2 linked regions of the Mus musculus genome follow. The protein of the gene in region 1 binds, or shares a complex with, the protein of each later gene. Links are inferred from orthologs where the notes say so. Each region holds a gene or a part of one and is shown on either strand. Other genes may lie near its edges.

What was found.
Region 2: the proteins of Ercc6l (region 1) and Bend3 are in contact, whole or in part, in a crystal structure (PDB 5JNO), measured with the Homo sapiens proteins. The link is inferred for Mus musculus from reciprocal best matches to the Homo sapiens genes ERCC6L and BEND3. Residues at the interface, in NP_060139.2 of Homo sapiens: Ala10, Glu11, Ala12, Leu13, Ser14, Pro15, Glu16, Ala18, Ala19, Tyr21, Leu22, Arg23, Lys26, Phe51, Pro52, Asn53, Glu54, Lys55; in NP_001073919.1 of Homo sapiens: Glu252, Gln255, Ile256, Gln259, Leu261, Asp265, Arg269, Val272, Gln273, Pro276, Phe279, Ser280, Phe335, Arg338, Phe339, Gln342, Glu346.

Annotation. Positions count from the first base shown.
Region 1 is NC_000086.7:102,142,208-102,144,850, forward strand, and holds the end of Ercc6l (DNA excision repair protein ERCC-6-like), read right to left. Parts: coding exon 972-2,643; 3' UTR 613-971; downstream 1-612. UniProt on the Homo sapiens protein: DNA helicase that acts as a tension sensor that associates with catenated DNA which is stretched under tension until it is resolved during anaphase. Functions as ATP-dependent DNA translocase. Can promote Holliday junction branch migration (in vitro).
Region 2 is NC_000076.6:43,477,637-43,482,127, reverse strand, and holds the start of Bend3 (BEN domain-containing protein 3), read right to left. Parts: upstream 2,989-4,491; 5' UTR 2,756-2,988; intron 1-2,755. UniProt on the Homo sapiens protein: Transcriptional repressor which associates with the NoRC (nucleolar remodeling complex) complex and plays a key role in repressing rDNA transcription.

The sequences.
Region 1 (2,643 bases):
CACTGGGTGTCATGGTGATGAAAGTAAAATGAACTCAGTGTTACAAAGTTGCTTTTCATTCAGTACAAAGTTAAGTCAGTTTTATGCCTTACTATGTCATTCATCATGGGCAGGTCACAGTGAGTCTTAGATGTTTCAGTTCAAACACAAAAACACCACCCTCCACCTCAAAGGTTATGGTAAGGATTAAACAAGAGGCCTGTGTGATATACTCAATATCCAGTAGGCACATTGTAAACACTAAATCTTTGGTGACAGCATATGCTGCACTTGGTGTTTCTGAAGGTGAATCGGATTCTTATGTAGTCAACAATCAAAAGAGAGGATGTGATAGCATCCAAACACCAGTATAAGTGGGACATAGTGTTATACATCCTTAATCCCAGCTCCAGGGAGGCAGAGGCAGGTGGAGCTATCTCCCTGAGTTCCAGGCCAGCCAGAGCTATGTAAAACTTTGTCTCAAAAAACTGAAGAACACCCCCCCCACACACACACACACACCACATAACTGGGTTGAAGAAAAGCATAGTCCAGAGTAAGTGAAGAATAGCTAACCAGTTGGTAGAGCAACTCCAGGGCAGGCTACAAGTGCCCAAGAATGCTAGTACAGGTACTGTATGCAGCTAAGCTGGAAGCACAAACGGCACATTATTAAGGCTATCTTAGATTTGGAATGCTAAATGACGAGCTTATTGGAACTAAAGAGTTTCTGTCTACCACCTTGTGAAAGAAAATGAATGGAAACACTCTGGAGAAAAGGCACTTTAATTTTCAGAACTGAGCTAACAGACAAAATGGCCCTTTTCACAGTAAAAATAGCCAGAACAGCTTCACAAAACTTTAGGTAACACTTCTGAAAGTTTGCAAAGTATGCCTAAAGGGGAAAAAATGAAATATTCAAGGGAAGAACTGCTGAACAAAACATTTATATTCAATTGCATTTTAGACATAAGAAATAGGCTATAAAGTTCTCAAATGTTCAGCTGCTTATACAAACTTAAAGTCATGAGCATGACCTCAGGATCTGCACTTTTTATATCAAGTGCTTTAACTAAGCAGTTGAGAGCCTCCTGTATCTTCCCGCACTCTTTCAGTTCTTTCCCACGAGCTACAAGACTCTCATAGTCATTACCAGCCTCCACTGCCAGATCCTGGGGAGGATCAGGCATAGGGTCACTTGACGAAGGTTCAGGAGCACAGGGAGAGCTTTGTGGGGCTGGAGAAGTAGGCTCAGACATGGTCAAGTTGCTGGACTTGTTTCCTGAAGCCAGTGTTGCCCCAGAAGGCTGCTCTTCTGTGCAGGCTAAGGCTTCTTCTTCATTGTTCTCTTCTGAAAGCCCTGGCTCACTCTCCTCCTCGCTGCTGTTATCAAGCCTTTCCTCCATATCTTCCACATCATCTAAAACCACATTGATCAGAGACCTCCTAGAAGCCAGGGACCTCCTAGAATGTAAGGACGTATTCACTTCACCTGGTGTTTTAGGTGAAAAGAACCTTCGAGATGGATTGCTGCCACTTTGGGGAGTTGAAGCATCAAATTGTTTCACAGATGAGAATGGAAAGGGAGAGATGTTAATTGAATTTGTATGACTACCTTTAAAAGCATCTTCTTCATCTTCATCTTCATCATCTGAGAGGATCCTTCTAGTTTTGCTTTTGGTTTTCACACTAATCACTTCTGATTCTTCATCACTCTTAGGAGAAGAATCCAAACTGAGAGTAAGTGCTGACTTTGCCCTGGAGTTAGCTGCAGGGCTTTGCAAGCTTTTTTCTTTCTCAACATGTTCCAAAAACTTGCTGGAGAGGTTTTGTCTAGTGTCTGCAGAGTCTTCCAGGAAAAGATTGAAATCACATGCATATTGTGGTGGTGATTTTAAAGGGTCATCCTCTTTCAACTCCAACTGGGCCTCGATTGCTTGAGCACCCTGCAGTGCGCTAGGAGGTTCAGACAAGTCATCAGATATTTCAATCATGGGTACATCTGATTCTAGGTTTTGGTTTTCATTTGCTGTGGGACTGCGGTGATATAAAACCACACTATCCTGTAGATCTAAATTTGGCCCAAGACTGGCCTTGCTGGATTCTCTAGGTAAATAATGAAAACTTCCCAGGTTCTCTGATGGGGCCTCTTGCCCAGGTGATGCTTGTAATCCCTTCTTCTGCATAGCATCATTTTCAGCTGCAAAACCTTTTGCAGGGCTCAATAAAGAGTCAGTAGAAACTTCGCCTATACTTTCAGCCCCCTGGGGTAAAGAAGCTATAGTGCCAGCATCAGATGTACTGTTGAAGTGGTGACTACCTTGCAGTGAAGTGACATCATGTACCTCAGAGTGCTCTTGGGGCTCACTCTCTGCAGACTGATCGCAAATGGTTATACTGGCCATTTGAGAACTGATAGCCTCTACCTGGGTAGGTTTAGTCAGAAGGCGTGAAGGCTGGGGCTGAGGTTTGTTGAATTCAGTACCTTTCTTCTTCTGTTGAGAAGGAAATTCCTGTGCTTTGAGCCAGGTCTCCTCAATTCCAGTCGTTTGTCTTTGCACTGTATTTTGAGACTCAGATTCAACAAGGAATTGAGCTTTTTGAACTCTCTGATGAATGTACTGAGAGTCTTCTAGCATGTCAAGCTCTTCTTTAACAGACAGA
Region 2 (4,491 bases), on another chromosome or scaffold:
ACAGCAAGTTCCAGGTTGGCCAAGGGCTAGAAAAGATAGCATGACTATATCCCTCTAAACACCAAGGAGTCCTAAAGTTCTACTACTCCAAAAACTAATTCTAAAACAGAGATGTCAATAGTGGGTACAGAATGGTTAGAATAGCAAGCATAGTCTCACTTATAAAAATTAACACACACACACACACACACACACACACACACACACGCCATTCCCTAGTCTCTTGTATAAATTATTATTACAGGTGCTAATGCATTTCTAGGCAGTTCTGTAGATGGGTCTCCTACAGGAGCTTAATCCTCACCCAATCAAACCTCTGTCAGGGCTGAGTCCAATTTTCCTGTTCCTAAATATTCTGCCCCCACCTTTGGTGCCCCCAAGGGTCCCCAGATAACCTATCAATCTCTAACAGACGGTTGGAATGCTGGCTAGTCTGTATTCTGTCTTCGTGGCTAACTGGTCTTACTTCTTGTGTGTGTGGAGAAAGAACGCTAACTTTACTGTTTAACTTCACTAAAACAGCATCTCTGACATGGTCATGGTGGTTCATTCTTTTGGTTCCAACACTGATAGGAGAAAGCGGAGATGGAGATGGCAGGTAGGTGGATCCCTGAGTTCTAGGGCAGCCTGGTCTACAGAGAAACCAAAAGACCATCCCAGTATGGGATACATAGTGAGACCCAGTCTGAGAAAACAACAAAAGCCAGGTGGTGTGGACACCTTTAATACCTTCCCCCACCCCCATCCCACCTCCACCCCCTACAGGCAGGATCAGTCAGATCTCTAAGTTTGAGGCCAGCCTGGTTTACATAGCAATTCAAGGACGGGACAGAATTTAGGGACTCGGTATCAAGACCAAACAACAACAACAAAATGCCAGGTGTGGTGGGACAGATCTTTAATCCTAGCATTTGGTCGGTTTAGGCAGCTGGATCTCCAAGGCCAGCCTTGTTAAATCTCAGGCTCCAGGCCATTCAAAGCTACAGTGAAATGTAGACTTAAAACAAACAAACAAACAAACAAGGCATCTCTAGTAAAGCCCAAAGTGGTTCTTGGTGTGTCTTGGTCTCACATGAGAATATATATAAAAGTTTAGATTTTTAAAAATGCAAAAATAATTCTTAGGGCTGGGGATGTAACTTAGTTGGTAAAATGTTTGCCTACCGTAACTAAAGTCGTAATTTCGATCAAGTACCACAAAAATTAGGTGCAGTGCACATACTTGTAATCCCAAGTATGTAACTCCTGTAACTTGACAGGCGTTCAGGATCACGCAGGCCTATATAACAAAAAAGTCTGAGGCCAGCAGGGACCACAGGAGACTGTCTCAAAAAAGGAAAACAAAAAAACAAAAAAATCCTGGCTAAATCCCAGTATTCGAGGAAGCTGAAGTCCTGTAAGGTTTACACATGAAACTCTAAAACGAGGGGCTGGAGAGATGGCTCAGCGTTTAAGAGCACTTGTGGCTCTTGCAGAGGTCGTGGGTTGTGTTCCCATCACCCACGTGGCTGCTCCCAACCATCTATCTGTAAATCCGATGCCCTCCTCTGACCTCTTAGGAGACCAGGCATGGATATGGCGCATATATATGCAGTCAAAACACATACACCGAAAATGAAGCTTAAAAACAAAACCCAAACACCTATGAATTAAAAGTGGAAAGTCGCAAAAAGAGAAAAACTGCAGGCATGGAACCGAAACAGAGACAAACCTAAAACCTCTATCTGGGACATTTCCACACGTTCCCCACTCGCCTGGGTTTTCTGGGTCTTTATAGATTTCTGGCACCCTCCCCTCTACTCAGTGACGTGTTACTTGTAGGAAAACATTCAAAAGTTACTTCTAAAAGGAAGTTCTCTGACTTCCAAACAGTGAACATTAATTCTGAGCATCTCTGGTTGGCCTCCACCTCCAAAATACTCCCAAGCGGGCCACCTGAGCGATCAAACTTCTACTTTAGGACAAACTTAAAAAAAAAAGAAAAAAAGAACTCAGATGAGTTGAGTCCCAGCCCACAAGGCCTTCACAACTCCGCGCCTCACAGCCCGAGCCAAGTCTGCGTGGGAAATTACGTCGATCGTGGCGGGCACAAGTCACGAGGGGCGGCGAGCGCCCCGGCCCGGCTCCACCGCCCGCCAGGAAGGCCTCGCGCTCGCTGGGGTGCACACCCAGAGCGCCGCGCTGGACCCGCCTCCAGCCGGGCAGCGGGAACCACGGAGCGCCGTGGAACGGCCCGGGAGGGTGCCGCGCCCCCTGGCGGCGGGGCTCGCCGCACCCCGCTCCCAGCCGCCGGCAGCCTCGCTCCCTCCGCTGCCTCCCCGGGGCAGCGTCCCTCCGAGCGGCGGCTCTCCGGCCTCTGGCTCCCCGCCCTTCTGCTCCCTCTGACACCCCTCCATCGCCGCCACAGGCCGGTCGAACGCGAGCGCTCCGGCGCCGCGCAGTTGCTCCCCGGCGGCCCTCGGCCGCTCCATCGCCGGCCCGCCGGGGGTGGAGAGCCGGCGCGCGGCGCGAGTGGGGCCGGCCTGGCGGCGGCGGCGCGGACCGTTCCACCGTGCGTCCTCCCCTCCCTCCTCCTCCTCCCTGGCCGCGGCGCGCGTGCTCCCGGAACGCCATGGAGTCGCGGCGTTCCGAGCGGGCACAAAGGGGCGCGCGGCACAATGGGGCGCGACGAGCCCGTGGGCGCCCGCTCCCCCTTCCAGCCCGCGCGGAGGCGGCGAGCCGCTCGCAGGCGGCCCCGACCGGGGCCCACACTCACCTGGGACGAGAGTTGTTACTTTGCGGAGCGGGACCCGCGCCGAGTTCGGGCGCCACGTGCGGGGGGCGGGCGCGCGGGCCGCAGTGGGGGCCGAGCGCGCAGGGCCTGGCCGGGGCGGCCCCGCCGACTGGCTGGGGGCGGCGGGCGGGCGGGCGCCGTGTATTTTCCCCTCTCTTTGTGTGTGTCCGTGCGCTGCGCTCTCGCGTGACGTGACGGGACTCCGTGTGTCATTTCCGCACAAGGACACAGGAGCCCCCGCTGCAGTGGAACCTCAAGCCCTCCGCCCCCACCGCGCCGCCCCTCCCCCTCAGCGGGGCACACGCGGGACCAGCGGCGGCGGCGGCGGCGGCGCTCGGGCGTGAGCGACCGCGGCGGGGAGCTGGGGCGCGCTGCGGGGCGGGTGCGCTCGGCCTGCACAGCGCGGCTCCACGTGGGCCCGCGCCGGCTGCCGGCGGACCAGGGCGGCTCTCACCCACGGGAAAGCGCCCCGCGGCATTCTCGGCTACGTGCTCTCCGGGCTGGAGCGTGGCCCCGGCGCCTCTTTCTCTACTTTTTCTCTAACCCCGGGGGGTGGGGGTGGGAGGCAACGCGCCGTGTCTTTTCCGCCCGCGCCCCCCGCTTTTGGGGCGCTCGGCTGTGGCGCCGCACCATCGCACGGACCTTCCCGTGCCACGCCGGGCACAAAGACTTCGGGGTGCGCCCCCCCTCCAGTTCTGCATGGATTCGTGGTTGGGGGGGTATACTGGAGAGCGACCCCGGGCTCTGGGGGAGCCCTGGCCACTCCCCCGGCAGGGTGGCCGCCCTCTCCCGTAAAGCCTGAGTTCCGAGAGCCCAAGTTTTGCCGCTTGAGGCTGCGGAGCGAAGCACGCGCTTGGGGACCCTCATGCCACCAACTCAGAGCCACGGGGCTCAGCGCGGAAAACTGGGAGACTCCAGTCGCCGAGTTAGTTAAGACCGACCGTCTCCTAGTTTCCCGGACTGCAGAGTCGGAGTTGAGAAATAAGAAACCAACCCCTCGCAGTTCTCCAACTTTCGGGGACTTGGGGTGGGGGTGGAGGGAAAAGAAAAGCCCAAGTCAACTTTTAAGCTGCGTGCCTGGTTTTGGTAAACAATGAGAACGGAAAAAAAAATTTTTTTAATCCTTTAATTTGCCGATGGAAAAAAAATGTCTAAAAAGAAAAATGCAAATGATCCCATCTGCTGCCTACAGCTGACTGGCTGCGAGAGAGGACCATGTGGCCCGGCCCGGCGCGGTCAGTGAATACGTAGAATAGATTTTAAAAGGACGTACATGCTGGCTCCTAGCTGCCCAGTCGCGGCCTAAGGTTGGAATTAACGCGTAGTCAGAGATTATTGTGTCTTCACACAAATTGGGAATTTAATCATTACGCAAGTTCCTCGCCTTCTGGTTTGAAATCTAATGGCGCAGAGTTGGACCTTGGAGGGACTGTGGAACGTTCTGGAGAGGTGTTTGGGTTGCAGACTTGGAGAAGTCAGTACTAATTGCTATGCAAAATTAGCTAGCAGCTTGAAGAAAGGAGCCCAGCATCCTAGGGGTGCTTTTATAAGAGAATCTATACGTGCTCAGTGTCATTCAAAACAGGATGATGGAAAGAATGGGCCCGAGATAGCAGCCCTTCAAATTCAAAAGGCTAGGGTCGCCCTATCTACATTTAAAATAGGGAGGAGGGAGGAAGGGAGGGGGAATGGTTAATTTATACATTCCCTGGAGACAA